4 linked regions of the Cricetulus griseus genome follow. The protein of the gene in region 3 binds, or shares a complex with, the protein of the main gene of each other region. Links are inferred from orthologs where the notes say so. Each region holds a gene or a part of one and is shown on either strand. Other genes may lie near its edges.

The links.
Region 1: the proteins of Smad7 (region 3) and Smurf2 are in contact, whole or in part, in an NMR structure (PDB 2LTZ), measured with the Homo sapiens proteins. The link is inferred for Cricetulus griseus from reciprocal best matches to the Homo sapiens genes SMAD7 and SMURF2. Residues at the interface, in NP_005895.1 of Homo sapiens: Glu203, Leu204, Glu205, Ser206, Pro207, Pro208, Pro209, Tyr211, Ser212, Arg213, Tyr214, Pro215, Met216, Asp217; in NP_073576.1 of Homo sapiens: Glu304, Arg306, Asn307, Thr308, Ala309, Thr310, Arg312, Tyr314, Val316, Asp317, His318, Arg321, Thr322, Thr323, Gln324, Phe325, Thr326.
Region 2: the proteins of Smad7 (region 3) and Nedd4l are in contact, whole or in part, in an NMR structure (PDB 2LTY), measured with the Homo sapiens proteins. The link is inferred for Cricetulus griseus from reciprocal best matches to the Homo sapiens genes SMAD7 and NEDD4L. Residues at the interface, in NP_005895.1 of Homo sapiens: Glu203, Glu205, Ser206, Pro207, Pro208, Pro209, Tyr211, Ser212, Arg213, Tyr214, Pro215, Asp217; in NP_001138439.1 of Homo sapiens: Arg394, Asp396, Lys398, Arg400, Tyr402, Val404, Asn405, His406, Arg409, Thr410, Thr411, Thr412, Trp413.
Region 4: the proteins of Smad7 (region 3) and Smurf1 are in contact, whole or in part, in an NMR structure (PDB 2LTX), measured with the Homo sapiens proteins. The link is inferred for Cricetulus griseus from reciprocal best matches to the Homo sapiens genes SMAD7 and SMURF1. Residues at the interface, in NP_005895.1 of Homo sapiens: Glu203, Glu205, Ser206, Pro207, Pro208, Pro209, Pro210, Tyr211, Ser212, Arg213, Tyr214, Pro215, Asp217; in NP_065162.1 of Homo sapiens: Glu313, Arg315, Ser316, Thr317, Arg321, Tyr323, Val325, Asp326, His327, Arg330, Thr331, Thr332, Phe334, Thr335.

What each region holds. Positions count from the first base shown.
Region 1 is NC_048600.1:119,827,502-119,831,495, forward strand, and holds the start of Smurf2 (E3 ubiquitin-protein ligase SMURF2), read right to left. Parts: upstream 2,856-3,994; 5' UTR 2,841-2,855; coding exon 2,741-2,840; intron 1-2,740. UniProt on the Homo sapiens protein: E3 ubiquitin-protein ligase which accepts ubiquitin from an E2 ubiquitin-conjugating enzyme in the form of a thioester and then directly transfers the ubiquitin to targeted substrates.
Region 2 is NC_048595.1:174,385,149-174,389,379, forward strand, and holds the start of Nedd4l (E3 ubiquitin-protein ligase NEDD4-like), read right to left. Parts: upstream 2,852-4,231; 5' UTR 2,552-2,851; coding exon 2,504-2,551; intron 1-2,503. UniProt on the Homo sapiens protein: E3 ubiquitin-protein ligase that mediates the polyubiquitination of lysine and cysteine residues on target proteins and is thereby implicated in the regulation of various signaling pathways including autophagy, innate immunity or DNA repair.
Region 3 is NC_048595.1:164,565,339-164,569,463, reverse strand, and holds the start of Smad7 (mothers against decapentaplegic homolog 7), read left to right. Parts: upstream 1-1,308; 5' UTR 1,309-2,640; coding exon 2,641-3,256; intron 3,257-4,125. UniProt on the Homo sapiens protein: Antagonist of signaling by TGF-beta (transforming growth factor) type 1 receptor superfamily members; has been shown to inhibit TGF-beta (Transforming growth factor) and activin signaling by associating with their receptors thus preventing SMAD2 access.
Region 4 is NC_048597.1:81,373,282-81,377,354, forward strand, and holds the start of Smurf1 (E3 ubiquitin-protein ligase SMURF1), read right to left. Parts: upstream 2,844-4,073; 5' UTR 2,580-2,843; coding exon 2,525-2,579; intron 1-2,524. UniProt on the Homo sapiens protein: E3 ubiquitin-protein ligase that acts as a negative regulator of BMP signaling pathway. Mediates ubiquitination and degradation of SMAD1 and SMAD5, 2 receptor-regulated SMADs specific for the BMP pathway.

The sequences.
Region 1 (3,994 bases), on a different chromosome or scaffold from region 3:
TTCCCCTAAAGTGCCAGGAATCCAAACTCTGATTATTATGCTGACATAGCAAGCACTTACCAACTTTAGCCTTCTCCTCAGCCCCAGATTATTATTCCTGGGACTAAATCTCATCAGCTTCAAATAGCTTTAAAATGTTTTTTATTTATTTGTTTGTGTATTGTGTGTCTGCATGAGTTTATGGCATCACATGCAATAGGTGTCCATGGAGGCCTAAAGAGTGTTGGATCCATGGGAGCTCAAGATACATGCAATCTTGGGCCACCAAATGTGGGTACTAGGAACTAGATTCAGGTCCTCAGGACTCACTAGTAACAGAAGAGCCATCCCTCCAGCCCCCAACTGATTTTTTTTTTAAGATTTTATTTATTTATTATGTATACAGTCTTCTGCCTGCATGCCATCATAGAGCACCAGATCTCATTCAAGGTGGTTGTGAGCCACCATGTGGTTGCTGGGAATTGAACTCAGGACCTCTTGAAAAGCAGTCAGTGCTCTTAACCGATAAGCCATCTCTCCAGCCCCCCCCAACTGATTTTTTGTAAGTGCTTTTTATATATACTGTTTAATGCTTTCAAAGCAACATCTTATATTTGTAACTCTGAAAGGGAGGATTATCAATATGTGATCTGAAAATGGTAATTTTATTCACTTGTATAAGTAAATTATTTTCATACTCTCTAGTCTTCATTGTACTGCTCTTGTTTCTTGAAAATCTACTTCAGAGATTAGAACCACAGCTCTCTGGCTTTTTCCATCTTCAGTACATTAATTATGGGAGAATTACTCCATAACCGTTCAAAGAATTCATGAATTTCAATATGACAAACTCCTGATTATGCAACTATTATTATGCAACCTTTGCCTAAGGAAGTATGTTTCTGAGGAATTTGTATATATGTTTTTAATCTATCATTTTTTGGTAACAGAACTATGTAAAATATAACCAAGACTGTTTAATTCTTGTTTTCTAAATGTTTCTCAAGAGAGACATTTACACACAATGTTAAGAGTGACATAGCAGGAGAGGGCCAATAGTTCAGACTTACTCCTATCCATCTTTAACATTTAGTAAACTTCTTATTGGAATAATATAAACAAAGGACACAGAAATGCTGATTGATTAAATTTTCACTAATTTTAATTAACACATTGCACTAGCTTCAGATATTATGCAATTATGTGCTAATTTTAATCAATGATAGCTACAAATGTAGCATATTAATACTATAGTACTACCACTGAAGTCCATTAGAGACAATGTCTCTAATGAGCCTAGAGCTGCATACAGATTAAATCTGCTATAGTACTTTGATAATGTTTAATATTCATCTCAAATTCCTCAAAGTGTTTCTATTCTTAAATCTGTACTTCCCAAAGTTGTTCTAGCTAGTCCATCTACCTCCTCTAAAGAAATAATAAGGTAACCAAATTAAGGAAAGTTGTATGATAGTTAATCGCCATTGTGAATTTTATTGGGTTTAGAGTTACCTAGGAGTAGGTGGGGCACACCTGTATATGTTTGTGAGATGGTTTCTAGAGAGGACTCATTAAGGAGAAAGATCAAACTAGATGTGGCTGGCATCAATCCATGAGCTTAGAACACTGGCGGTAAAAAAGAAAAGCCACCAAAATGCCCCGTCCCTGTGCTCTGCTTCCTGGCCCACCATGATGTGAGCTTCTCTGCTGTACTAAGTCCTCATACAATGTTGAGACTGACATCTCAGAAACCAAGAGCCAAAATAATCCTTCCTCCTTTAAGTTGCCCCTGCCCCAGCTATGATTTAAGTAACTAATAGAATAGTATGCTAATAATGTCTCTACATTTCACATGGATAGGGGTATAACCTTCTTGATATGCTTATAGAGAACAGAATAAACCAATTAATAATCAATTCTTTTTTACTGAGACAGTCTCACTGAGTTGCCTTGGCTGGCCTCTAACTCCTCATACAAACTAGGCTGGCCTCAAACTCAGAGATCTACCTGCCTCTGCCTCCTGAGTACTAACATTAAAGGCATGCGCCACAAGGCCTAGTTTCATTCTTTCATTTGACATTTCCTGAGTACTCACTTTATGCCAAGTACTATCATAGGTTCTGCAGATAAAGATACAACTCAATTATCATACCATAAATACCTTTTTTTTTTTGAGGGAGAAATTAGAATCCTTTTATGTAACCCTGCTGTGCTCAAAATCAAGATCTAGGGATTGGAGAAATGAACCAGCGGATAAGTGCACCTCTCTGGTCCTGCAGAGCACCAGAATTCAGTTCCCAGCATCATCCACAAGGTGCCTCATAACTACTTGAACTCCAGTTCCAGGAAATCTGATGCTCTTTTCTGACCTCTCTAGGCTTTCTACATATACACACTATACATACATACCTACACACACACACACACACACACACACACACACACACACACACACACTCAACACATGCACACATATACATAAAGTAAAATAAATATTTTTTTTATAAACCAAGATCCAGGTTTTTATAAACCTGCTTCAAATTCCTGAGTGCTGGGATCATAGGAATAGGCCACTACATTGGCTACAAATGTCTTCTGTTATTTTTGCAAGAAATGTTTTTAAATTTTTTCCAAAAATAACAACAAAAATCTTTTTATATGTATTTGAAGTAGTAACTGGAAAAAACACTTGTGGAAGGGCGGCTACCACACTGTGGGTTAAGTCACTAGTTTCTTTTTTTATTAGAAAGAAGTTGCCTACCTGCAACAAGCATCTGTAATAGTATCAGTGCAATGCCCAGCGGTAGTAACAGAATGGTAACAGAATGGAATGCCCTGCTGTTCTCGTAAGTTGTACTCATAATGAATGGTTGTCTGTGCTTAATTTCAATAAAGCTCCCAACTGCTCATTATATCCTTGCCAAAAATTCCCCTTCCTCCTCCAGACTGCAGTTGCATTCCAATTACAATGCACACTGGAATGAAGCTGTTCAAAGGGGGTAGAGGGAGATAGTCAGATATCCTTCTTTTCTTTGCTCCCAAACAAACAAACTTTCACAATACTGTTCCTGTAACTCAAAAGTTACAGAGAATATTTTAGCCAACATATTTTTCTGCACGTTCTTCAAACTTACGTTGGCACTGTAAAAAGTTAACATGGAAGTCCAGTTTAACACCTCTAAATGAAATCCCAACAAGCTGGCCCAGGCTCCAAAAAATATGCTTCTGTGCACCATTCCTTACCACTGACACATGACAGCAGCAGTTTAGAATTGCCACATGTTATTACAGGAGCTTAGACTATAGCTCTATTGACAGAAGCCTGTGTAGCACATTCAGGGCCCTGGATTCCATCCCCAGCACCACATAAACGAGGTGCGGTAGTATATGTCTATCCACAGAACTAGAGAGACCAAGACTGAAGGAACTGAAGTTTAAGTCTACATAAAAAGTTTGGGGTAACATGGTCTACATAAGGCCCTATCTCTAAAAAAAGAAAAAGATAATATAGGACTTTGTAATAAGCAAAAGTATCAAATACAAATCTAAACACATACATACATTTTGGAGAACTACTTGAAAGTATTTCACTACACATAATTTCTTAGATTTATTCATTTTCATTATGTGTATATGTGCTATACATGTGTGCATGCAAGTGCATGCAGAGTTATAGAAGAGGGCATTGGATTCTGCTGGAGATGAAGTTACACGTCCTTTTGAGTCTCCCAGTTTGGACCACACTGGAGTCCTTGAAAAGAGCATCAAGTGCTCTTAACCACTGAATCACCTCTCCAGCCACTCAGCTATGAATTTCAAACCAGTTTATTTTGTTGGTGGTGGTTTTATGTTTTGTTTTGTTTTGTTTTTTTAAGACAGGGTTTCTCTGTGTGGCCCTGGCTGTCCTGGAACTCACTTTGTAGACCAGGTTGACCTGAAACTCACAGAGAGCTGCCTGCCTCTGCATCCAGAGTGCTGGCATTAAAGGCATGAGCCATTACCACCCAGCTTTAAA
Region 2 (4,231 bases), about 9.8 Mb from region 3:
AACATGAACACATGTCTACCTACAAGGAAACCCTGGGTACAGTGCCCGATTTTCTCAAGGTCTACAAGTAGACTCCTCTCTACCCCTACACGGGTGTCTCCATGTGATACTTGCAGCCCTCTGGTGCTCACTATTTAACACAACTTGACAAGCCTCTAGTGCTGTTCATTTCATCAGGCAGTCCACTTTCAGAGCCTGTTAATTACTCTCATTTGTTTGCTTACACACTAATTCGGGAGAGGCGACAAAGCAAGCAAATTTAACAATTTGGTGTTAATACTATATGAAGGAGTTCTGTATGTCTTCAAATGGCCCCCTCCCTGAACAGAGGGAAACCTCCCACACCAAACAATTGCCTTAGAAATATGAAGGCAATCATTTTCTATTGGTGATAGAAAAATGAAAAAGGGAGGCAGATGCAGCTTATTTTGGATCATATATGATGTTTGAGGAACTAAACAGAATACATAAATAGTGTTTTTCATCTCCTCTTGCTATTCCCTATACAGTCCCTCTGACAATACGCAGGAGCGAACAGTCACAGGCACACTCGGTTCTTGTGTCTATGTTCTCCACTTTGACACCCCACACCAGTCAGGATCAGCAGCGATTCTCGGAGACAAAAGTGTCAAGATGCTCCTGAGGTGGATTCTGACACTGGCTGCCAGCATAAACAAAGCGCGCGCACACCAGTGACAGATAGGATTCCTTTAGGCAGATACATTTCCCAAAACACCCTTAAAATATTTCTTTCAAGGAGCTTTTAAAAATAAGCATGTTATTTTTAAAAATTAAGAGACCCTAAGAAGAAACGCAGCTGTCTTCATCTCCCTTGATACCTCATCCAGGGAGCCCTTTGTTCAGTATCTCAGCACCTCCAAGAGCTCAGACTGCCCTCCAGCTCTAGACAAGGAGCTAGGAGGAGAATCCCCTGGGTAAACAAAACAAGTCTACTTTCACCCATCTCCAGGTAACAGCTAACAGCACACACACACACACACACACACACACACACACACACACACACACACACTTTATTTTACACAAGCATGACAAATAATCAAAAACATATCACACATTATTTGCATTGTGATCATTCTTTGATAAAATAAGCAATCCAGCAAGCACTATCAAAAAATAAAATCAACCCTTACATGCCCTGCCTACCTCAAGATACCCATTTCATTCCACACTTAGGTAGAATACACACACTCACACACCATGCCACAGTAGGAAAGCAGTACACACACACACACACACACACACACACACACACACACACACACACACATGCCAATAGGGAAGCTGCTGAAAGCAAAGCCATAACGTGAATCTGTGAATCGGTCTCACATAATAGACTCTCTTTAAACCCCACCCCCATCTCCAGAGAAAGAGAGAACCTCAGAAAGAAAGGAGCGAGGGTAAGAAAGAGAAATCAAGAAAGCCCAAATTTCCAGGCATCCACTTTTCATGAAATGCACAACCAGGATAGGAAATACCTCCCCGCTGAGTAATGCTTCATGGGTTGTAAATTCACCTCTCGAAAGGGGAGCCAGACCTGGGCGCGCACCCCGCCAGATGGCGAACCACTCCTACCTGCTCCATCCAGCCTGCCTGTCACTCCGAGCCCGCGACAGGCCTCCCACCCCCCTTTTTGGCAGAGCAACACACCAATAAGAGTCGAGAATGGCTGGTCGAGTGAGGGCTGAGCAGTGATTTAGCAGGATCCTTTCAAAAGGGGGAGTGGGGACCGCGATGAGCGAGTGAGATTTTTTAAAAACAAAGCCCTCTCCAGTCAAACCGACCGTTTGGGGGTGTGGCTTATTTCATTCGTTTTATTAATAAAAGAGATCAATGGAGCTTTCTTCTCTCCACCCACCCCAGAGGTGCGGGGCTTTGAATCCTCTTGACGAAGGAGAAATGGCAGGGCTGCAAGCTTCCCCTAAGTTTCCTGCAGCACCTGCCTCCTTCTCAGATCACCTCCACACACCAAAATAGAGGAGTTCGAAACGCACAATCCCAGCTCCAGACTTTGCAAGACCCAGGGGCGGCCGTACACAACTCTCCCGGTGTCACCCCCCCCCCCCCCGGGATCTGCACACATCCGCTGCCGAGCGCCCACTAGCAAGAAAAGTCCCAGAAGGAGACACCACCAGGCTCCTCAACAATCCCCAGATAGCCTGCGCCACGCAGAGACCCCTGCAGCGACCCAGACGTGACACTTGTCACGGACTCCTGGCTGCAGGGGCATGACCAGGAAAGTTGCCTAACAGCCCTGAGAGACGCAGCTTGCAGAGGAAAGGGACCCGCGGGGCAGCGACTCACGCGGCCTCCGCCCACCCCGAGAGCCCCGGGCAGAGGAGCGGAGCGCTTCACCCGGACAAGTCACCCACCGCTCCGGACCGCTCTGGGTCACCCGGATTCCGGGACCCACTGCTAGCAAGGGACGCGCGCAGCGGAGTGGCCCCGTCCTCTCCCCACAACGCTCTAGGCAGAAACTCACCTCCTCTTCCGAAAGTCCGTAGACGGGCTCCCCGAGCCCGGTCGCCATGGAGCCGGCGCCCCGCGCGGGGTCCTAGACGCTGCGATCGGCTGAAGTGCGTCGCGGGGCCGCGACCCTCTGTCCTTCTGCGCCGCCGGGCGGGGAAGGGCCGGCAGGTGAGGCTGCACCCGGCCGCGGCGCCGCTTCCTCCCGGAAGGCTGCGGGGACGCGCGGACTGGCGGCTCCGAGAGCGCGCCGAGCGGCGGCTGGCCGAGCGCTCTCTCTGCTCAGCGCTCAGCCCGCGGGCTCCCGCCCCCGCCGCTGGCTCTCCCGGCCTCCCCAAGCCCCGCTCAGCGATCCCTGGGACCCGCGCCCCCGCCCCTCGCCTGCTCCGCCCGGCCCGCCCTCTCCGCCCCGCCTGCGCCGCCCGGCGCCCACGGCGACCCTCCCGTTCGCCGGGGCGGGCACTGGCGCCCCCCAAGCCAATCACAGGCCGGGTTGGGGGGCGGGCCGCGGGGGTGGTGGTGTTTCGCCCCACGCCCACCCCACCCCCAGCGCCTCCTGGGTCACCCGCCGCAGAGTCCTGGACTGGGGCGCGCCCTGGCGGGCTGGGCCTGCCGGGCTGACCCTCTTACTTGCCCCGCTTTTCTCTGCCTTGGGGACCCGGTGGAGTGGACCTTAGGGGGACCATGAAGACGCCGTGCAAACAACAACAAAACCATTGTTTCCATTTTTATCTTTCTTTTTTTTTTCTTAACCCGAAGTCTCCAGGAGCGTTAAAGGGGCGACGATGCATGTTTCTAGACCCCCTTTAAATTCTTGGCAGCTATGGCAGGCCAGACTTGGCTCACCGCGTCAGCTCCCCGAAAGGATTCGCCTGGCCGGGCGGCCAGCCTAGGAGAGGCTGCCCCGTTGTGGCCGCGAGTCGCCATTGCCGATGTCAACTCTACTGGGAACAAAACCAACTCTGCGCCCGCGCTGAGTACACACCCACCCACTTGAAACCGGGCTGCCTGGTTCTTTGATAAAAGCTCGGGCTTTTTTTGTAAGGCACAACGTGAAATACCAAATTCAACTTTAAGTTTGTCCTTTACATATGCAAACCTTGGAGACGTCTTATTAGCCACCGTAGGAGTCTTCCCACATTCCAGATAGGGAATTTCTCTAGCAAGCCCTTCATTTAATCTTTCGAAGTACAGGAATGCAAGAAGCTACTTTAAATAAGTTAAGAGAAATTCGTCACTCTACTTTTTTCAAGAAGCCTCCCCTAAGAGCCAGCCGTGGTGGCACACGCCTTTTAATCCCAGTACTGGGGAGGCAGAGGCAGGCAGATCTCTGCGAGTTCAAGGCCAATCTGGTCTACAGAGTGAGTTCCAGGACAGCCTCCAAAGCCACAGAGAACCCTGTCTCGAAAAACCAAAAAACCCAAACAAAAAAAAAAAACAAAAACAAAAGGAAGGCATTCGATCCTAAAAATAAGTGTTGTGTGCAGTGGTAAATTAGAAACAAGAACAGAAAGAACGTGCTATTTTCCTTTAAAAAGAAATCATCAGAGTGTCTGGTTTTGTCTGGGAGGTTAGGATTTTCACTGAAGGAAGAGAGAACAGATCAACAGAGTCACCTTGCCTGGCCCACCTTAATGATCAAATACCTGGTGTACACCCTGAAAGGCGGTCCCACACTCCCCAACTTTAGCTCTCCCTTTCATCCCTTGCAATGTGTCCCATGTAATAGCTTTCCTTTGAAGCC
Region 3 (4,125 bases):
AGTTTCATTACTGTCGTAATCTCACACTTTCAAATGACTTCTTAAAAACCCAGTAAATAGTATGTGAGGTTGGATCACCATGCCAACTAGTGGCCTCAGTATCATTCTAACACTGTAGTAACTATTCCCAGACCAGCACCCAGGACCTTTGCTTGACAAGTATCTTTCCTACTTCCAAGCAGTCACCTGCATCTGGGAATGGCTTTTTAAAACACCCTGACCCTAAGCACCTTGAAAGCCACGAGGCCAAGCAGGGCCCAGGAACAGGCCCCCGCGTGCGAATGAAAGCTCTAAGCTGGTCTGCTCTCTGGGTAACCTTCCCGCGCCGGGAGGCCCAGTAGCGGGTGCCGGAGGTCTAAACGGCCGGGAGGAAACCTGCCGGCGGCGCACAGGCGAGCAGCACCCCTCCTCCCTCCAGGATGCTGCCCCTCGCTGCTCGTCAGCCTGCCAAATGCATTCCAGAGCTGTGCACAAGACACACTTCTCCAGGCAGTCCTAGAAACCCGAGCCCGGAGCGGGAGAGGGCGGGAGGGAGCACGGCGGCCGCTGAGGTCACATTCGCGCCGCCTCTCCGCCCTCGGCCGCCCGGCTGTTCCCTCTAGCGCACACTTCCTAGGGCCTCTGTCCTGGCCGGTGTAAATGTCTTTGAAACAGACAGCGTTCTCCTCCCCTTTCCAAGGGATCCGCCGCCAGGGCCTTAAAACAAATCGAATGAATGAATCGCCGGGGCGAGCTCCGCTGGTCTAAATCGGGCCACCGACCGACTCGCTCCTTTCCAAACTCGCCCGCTCCATGCCCCCAGCTCTTCCGATTTCTCCCCTGCTCCCGCTGGGTCTCCGTCGACCCCCGGGCTGTCTCGGCCTCCCACCTCCCTCCACCCATGCGTACCCCTCTGCAGACCTAAGAGAGGGTGGCGGTAACGGGGGGGGGGGGTTGAAATAGCTTTTAGAAACCCGATCTGTTGTTTGCGAAACACAATCGCTTTTTTTTTTTTTAAAGCGACAGGGTGTCTAGACGGCGTGAGGCCCCGGGCGACACTCGCTAGCAGATCGGCGCACAGAGGATCTTGTCCCCGAGCTGCGCCAGCAGAGCCAGCCGGGCGCCTCGCTCGGTCCGCTCGCCGCGCCGGAGAGAGCTGCCCGAGACGCAGCCAGCCAGCCGGCCGGCGCCACGCCGCCGAGCGCTCGGCCCCGGAGTCCCTGAGTGCGGCGCGGCGAGCCCCCAGCGGCGGCAGAAGGACTCGAGCGCCAGGAGAGGGCGGACGGGGGACGAGGAGGCTCCCGGGCGAGACGAGGAGAGTCTCGGAGGAAGAGGCAGCGAGAGGACACCCGGGCCTCCTGCCGCCACAGTCGGTTCGGGGCCAGTAGCTCCTTCGGGCAGCCTCTGCAGCCACCGGCGACCAGGGGAAGGGGCATCGGCGGCCCCCACACTAGTCTGCTGCTTGTGCCCTCGGGGGCGAGAGCTTGCGACCCGCCGGAGCCCGCCGCCGCGCCGCCCTCCCTTGCGCTGACAGCCCCCCGGGGCGCAGCCGCCGCCGCAGCATCTTCTGTCCCTGCTTCCCCAGAGCCGAGGAAGTCCCCGCCGAGGACCTGGGCCCCCGGGAGCGCAGGAGGAAAGACCAGAGACTCTGAAACACCCAGACACGCAAGATTGAAGCAGCCTAGCCAGACCCTTCTGTGGATTAAAAGAAATACGATTTTTTTTTTTGGCAGAAGAAAAGGAAAGGAAGACCCGCAGGGTTCTGCAAGGAAAAAAAAGGGGGGGATGTAACTCGTGGATACGTTTTTTCCCCACCCCTCCAACATCTTGTTCTACTTTGTAAACATTTTCTCTTCTAAACCCGGGCTCCATCCGGTGGCCCCCAGACCTCCGAGGTGCCAGGAGGTGTTGTGTGTGTTTTTTTTTTTTTTTCATTGGGGGCTTTGCATATTTGGTTTTGGGTTTTTTTTTTTTTTTTGAGAGACCCTACAGACGTCTCACGCGGGGTGAAGTCTACTCGGCCCCCTCCCTCTAGTCTTCGCGAGCACAGAATTCGAGGAGATCCGGTTACTAAGGATATAGAAGAAAAAAATAAATCGTGTGCCTGCTTTTTTTTTTTTAATTGCCTGCTTCTCCCCACCCCCAAATTAAGTTGCTTAGCAAGGGGGAAAGAGGCTTTTTCCTCCCTTCAGTAGCACAGCCTAACGCCTTTCGTTTTTTTGCCCCCGAGGATCTTCCATGTAGGAAGCCGAGGCTGGCGAGCCCGACACTCGGGAGCTACTGTAGGGGGGCCTCTTTTGGGGGAGGCGTCCACCGGGGCAGTCTCGGCCGCCCCCAGGGAAGCGGCGGCCGCGTTTCTCCGGGGCGCGCCGGGGCCCGAGAGCCGCGCAGGGCGCGGGCCGCGCCGGGTGGGGCAGCCGAAGCGCAGGCCCCGATCCCCGGCGGGCGCCCCCGGGCCCCGCGCGCGCCCCGGCCTCCGGGAGACTGGCGCATGCCACGGAGCGCCCATCGGGCCGCCGCCGCTCTTGCCCGGGCCCCTGCTGTTGCTGCTGTCGCCTGCGCCTGCTGCCACAACTCGGCGCCCGACTTCTTCATGGTGTGCGGAGGTCATGTTCGCTCCTTAGCCGGCAAACGACTTTTCTCCTCGCCTCCTCGCCCCGCATGTTCAGGACCAAACGATCTGCGCTCGTCCGGCGTCTCTGGAGGAGCCGTGCGCCAGGCGGCGAGGACGAGGAGGAGGGCGTGGGGGGTGGCGGCGGCGGCGGAGGCGAGCTGCGGGGAGAAGGGGCGACGGACGGCCGGGCTTATGGGGCTGGTGGCGGCGGCGCGGGCAGGGCTGGCTGCTGCCTGGGCAAGGCGGTCCGAGGTGCCAAAGGTCACCACCATCCCCATCCCCCAACCTCGGGTGCAGGGGCGGCCGGGGGCGCCGAGGCGGATCTGAAGGCGCTCACGCACTCGGTGCTCAAGAAACTCAAGGAGCGGCAGTTGGAGCTGCTGCTCCAGGCCGTGGAGTCCCGCGGCGGTACGCGCACCGCGTGCCTACTGCTGCCCGGCCGCCTGGACTGCAGGCTGGGCCCGGGGGCGCCCGCCAGCGCGCAGCCCGCGCAGCCGCCCTCGTCCTACTCGCTCCCCCTCCTGCTGTGCAAAGTGTTCAGGTGGCCGGATCTCAGGCATTCCTCGGAAGTCAAGAGGCTGTGTTGCTGTGAATCTTACGGGAAGATCAACCCCGAGCTGGTGTGCTGCAACCCCCATCACCTTAGTCGACTCTGCGAACTAGGTAAGAAGTTGTTCTGTGTCCACCTTTCGTTCCCTCCTGCGCGGAAGTGTTGGTAGAATTCCCAGGGTGTGTGTGCATCCCCCTTCTGGAGGAGAGGAGGGAAATAAAATCAGGGAAGGGACAAGGGGAAACTCGGACATTCTTTGGGGTTCCCTTTCATATTCTATCTCCCGCCTCCACCCTCTGGTGGAGGACCCATGGAGACTGTTTATGCTTATAGTGAACAGACATGCTGCAGAAAATGAGACACACTTATTTCCGGGTCAGCAAGGGAATTCAGAGCGAAGTGGGGATCACGCTTCCCCCGCACCCGGATAGGCGTTGAGGTGTGTGGCCGAGTTGGATTCTGTCCAAGCCCGCCAAGGAAGGTTGGGAGAAACTAGCTATAAAAGTTGGAAAGTCTCCTCTCCTTTAGTAAATAAGGACAGTCACGTGGGGCTCAAGTGGCCCAGATACTGCCCTGGCCTCTCAGCTTTGGAGTTTGGGGGCTGTGGTAGGATGGAGACCGAACTAGGTATCCACTGTTAGCTATGCCAGCCACAGGGTGAGAAGGAGCAAACAGCCTGGAGAAGTTGGGTCCCCTACTTTTACCTTTATTTCGCACCGAAAAGCATACCATTAGTGGTCCTTAGAACCCCAGCCCCCTGTGTCTCCCTTTTCTTAATTGCCCTGGAGCCTGGCCTTCATAGCTGGGACCCTGAGCAGGTTCCTATACCTATATTATCGTCCTAGCTCTTCCATGCCTTCTGTTTTCTCCACATCTTGGTGTTCAGGGTAGAGGGGCGTACCCTGCTTCCCTCAAGTCTTCCAAGTTCAGCAGCACACTTAGGGTGCTTTTTTTCTCGGTGGGCTAGGTAGGATTCCCTAGT
Region 4 (4,073 bases), on a different chromosome or scaffold from region 3:
GCCTCCTCAGTCTTCAACACCAAAATCAGACCGGGAAAGCCTCCCTTTCCTGGTTCTCTAGGATCTGTTAATAGACAGCTGACACAAACGCCACTGATCTCATTTCGACTAAAACTCCCCAAGTCCATCAATTTAACAGGAAGGCTGAAACCAATGTGGATTATCACTAAAATCAGGGCCCAGTGCCAGTGAGCAAACTTTCACAAGGATGACTGGCAAAGAATCTAACTTTCTAAAGTAACAGCCAACACAGTGTCATACACTACATTCACCCAGTGAGAGTTCTCTCCAGTCACCTGCTGTTTGTCCAGGGGCAAAGATGTCCAACAAGACCAGGGTCTGGGTTCTAGTTCAAAAATCATTATCTGACCTGACATCACCAGAGAAAAAAATGTCAATCTTTTCTTAAACAGAACACTCATCGGCTACAAACTTTCCAAGAATTTCCACCGTGGCAGGGAAGATACCACCATGATCACAGCCCTTACCCAAAGGCTCAGTCCAAAAGGACAAGCAGAGAGCCTTAGTTCTGACCACACTGCCTCAGAACAGAAAAATCCAGGGAAATCCCTGAAAGGCCTTAGACTTAGTGTTTATTTCCTTTTCTGAGCTAGAAAGCCCCAGAGCAGGCCCTATGCCAGCCCTGCCATGCAGCTTTAGAGATGGATTCAAACTGGTAAGGTCTCTGCAGGAAAAGGAGAGGGAGAAAGGAAGAGGAAACCAGGGGCAGTGGTCCAGACTCTGGACCCATGAAGTGGGGCAGCTATGACAGAGAGCTCGCCTCTCCCTCTATGCAAACAATACTGTTGCTGTCAGACCCAGAGCAAGCTTTGCGCTCACCCTTGAAGGTGGCACTACAGAGCACCTAGGAAACCTGAAAATTCCTCTGAAGACTCGGAGTGGAACAAGGAACCTGTGCTGGAGCAGCTGCCACAGCTCAGCTTGTGTGGGAGTGGGGGATCGCGCCACAACAGGGACTCAAGCATGTGGCACTGAGGGGGATGTTGGCGAAGGCACTGCAGAGGAGGTAGGAACCGAAGACCGGGACTCTGCAGTGCTAAGTGGCCAGGCCTCAGGGAGAACGGAAGTGGACTAGACTGGAGAGGTCTGGACCATTGAAGAGGTGGGGGGGAGTGAGAACAAGTCTGGGAGACAGACGTTTGGTCCCAGACAGGCTTGAGGAATTTGCGACTCAAGGGTGGAGGCTGTAAGACAGAAGCGAGGGGGCGGGACTGAAAGATAATCGAGGGCGGGATCAGACAGAAACAAGGGGAGGGGCTTGGGCAGCGGAGGGGGCGGGGCCAAGAGGGGGGAAGGCCCCTAGAAAGATGGAGATGGGGAGGGAGTGAGGAGGTAGGAGAGCAAAGAGAGGATCAAAGCAGGCCAGTGGGGGGGGGGGGGGCGATTCTCGGGATACCAGGAGGGAGAAGTGAGAAGGTCAGAGAACACAGTGGTGAAGGAAGAAAGGAGGCGAAGAGATGAGAAGCTACAAGGGAAAAAGACAGCAGACAGGTGGGAGGGTAGTAAGGTGTGGGACTAGAGAGGGATAGCAGGTAGGAGGATGGTGAGTGAAGAAATGGATGATGAAAATCTGAGGTGAGGGTGGGAAGAGCAAAAGGTGCAGCGAGGGGGCGGGACCTACATGAAGTTGAAAGTGGGTGTGGAGCTGAGGGAGCCAGGCACAAGGCCTGGAGAAGAGCAGGGAGGGGCAGATGTGGGACAGAGGGTGCCTGGGGCAGGATATAGAGAGGGTCACAAGAGAGCCGGTGGGGGACCCCGAGGGGCGGGACCTCTATGCAGCTGAGGGTAGGGGTAGGGCAGAAAGGAGAGCTAGGGGATGGTCCTGGAGAGGGGAGCTAGGGGGCGGGACCTGAAGCAGAGGGGTAAGGTTAGGGGCAGAGGGAGGCAGTTAGGGGGCGGGGCCCATATGCAAATGACGGTAGGTGTGGGCAGAGTGTGAACGGTGAGGGGAGGACCTGATAAAGAGGGAGGAGCCGGAGGCAGTACCTACCGAGGATCAGCGGGGGTTGGGGGTGGAGCCCGACAGAAGGATGAACAGCAAGTAGGGCTTGAAGCAGAAAAAACCAACTGCAGAGAAATTAGCAGGCGGGGAATAATGCAGAGGGAGGAGCCAGAGGGCGGGGCACCAAGGCTACAAAGTAAAGAGGTGGAGCCTGTGGGGGGAGGGGGCGGGAGTCTGCAGAACAGTCGAGGGCTGAACCTGGTTACGAAAGGGGGAGGATCTGCGGATCAATAGGGGCGGGGCTAGATGCAAGAGGGCGGGGCTGCCGCAGCGGGCGGGGCCTGATGGCCGGGGGTGGGGCCTGATGCAGAGGGAGGGTACTGGGCGGCGGGGGCGGCGCCTGCAGAGCAGCCGGGGGGGCGGGGCCGGGAAAGGGAGCGAGGGGCGCACGCCGTGGGGGGTGCGGCGGTCCCGGGACAACGGCCGGTGCGGCGGGGTGGGAGTCCTCGAGGTCCCTGGGACCGCCTGGGGGCGCGAGGGCCGCGGCCCTGTAGTGCCTACCTGTCAGACGGATCTTGATGCTAGAGCCGTTCCTACGCGTCCCGGGGTTCGACATCTCCCGCCAGCGGCCGGCCGGCCTTGGATCCAGCGCCGCCGCCCCCAGCCGGCCCGGCCCGGCCCCGCCGCCGCCTCAAGGTTACGGCCACGGGCTGGGGTGCCGGGGTCCGAGCCGGGACGCCGAGTGAGCGGCGCAGGCGTCGGACGGGAGCCGCGGGCTGGAGCCGCAGGACGGAGCGCTCGGCTGCGCCGCCGCCCGGAGCCGCCCCTGGCCGCCAGCCCGGAGCCGCCGCGCTCGCAGCCGGACGCCCGCCGCCCTCGCTGCTTCCGCCGCCGCCTCCCGAGCTGCGCGCGCCCGTCGCCGTGCCGGCCCGGCCCTGCGCGGCCCCGCGCTTGCGTGCGTGCATGCGTGCGCGCGCCCGAGGAGCACGGCGCTACGCCGACAGCGTTCGTCCTGGGCGCGCACGCGAAGGTTCAGGGAGCTACTAGGTTTCTGCAGCCCGTGGAGATTCTTGAAACAGACATCCCGCTCGCGGAGCACTTCTTAGCCACAATCTCGGAACGAACTGATTTGCTTGTGCAACGATTTGGGAAATCGAATTATTTTTCTAGAGTCGGACTTTTTCCTGATGGAAGCCAGAGGATTGTGTGAAACCCCAAGCACCTTGCGCGCGTGCGCCCACGGGCACGCGATATCATTTTTGAGAAAATAACGTTTAGATCCTGCAAGTTCCAAGAGAGGACTTTCCACAATGATCGGGTGTGCCCTGTGCAACTGGTGTATTCGATTGACAAAGTGGCTAGACCCTCAGGAAGTGAGGCATATGGACCAGCTAAACTAGATGAGTGATGTAAACTGGAGAGGTGTGTGGTTTTGTGGTTAGGGACCTGCATGCAATTAAACTAACCTAGGAAGGTAAGCAGTGGGATTTGCGATTCCCTGCCTTCGGGTGAAACACACACACCCCGCGCGCGTGTGCGCCCCTAGAGAGGCAGGCAGGTAAAAAAGTAAAAGCTGTGTTTTCCCCAGCAAGCAAACCCATCTCTATGGTAACACATTCTAGAGAGGAAATAAAACGTTCTTGAAAAGGCTGGGTATGTTTACCTAACTCACATCTGATATGAACCTAATTCTTTTCATAGACAGAGTTTATGTGGCTTCCTTAGCCCTGTTACCCACAGCACTTAGCCACCCTCTTTGGAGACAGAGGCTCATTTTTAGACCAAGCTGGCCTCGAACTTGTGATCCTCCTGCCTCAGCTTCCTGATTACCAGCCTGTACCACAACCCACCTGGCCTTACCCTAGTGGTTTGTTTTGTTTCTATGACCCTGTGCAGCCCAGAGTTTCAAATAGCTGTAGTGAATTGTCTAAGAAAAGGAACAGTATATGAGCAACAGTTAATCCAGACGCTAGCTCTGTCTCATTTTCTAGGCAGCTGTCATTGAGATTGAGACCCTAGGTCAGAATAAATCCATTTAAGAGTCTTTGATGAGGGTTGGTATGATAGCTCCATTGATAAAGTGTTTGTTGTGCAAGCATGAAAAACTGAG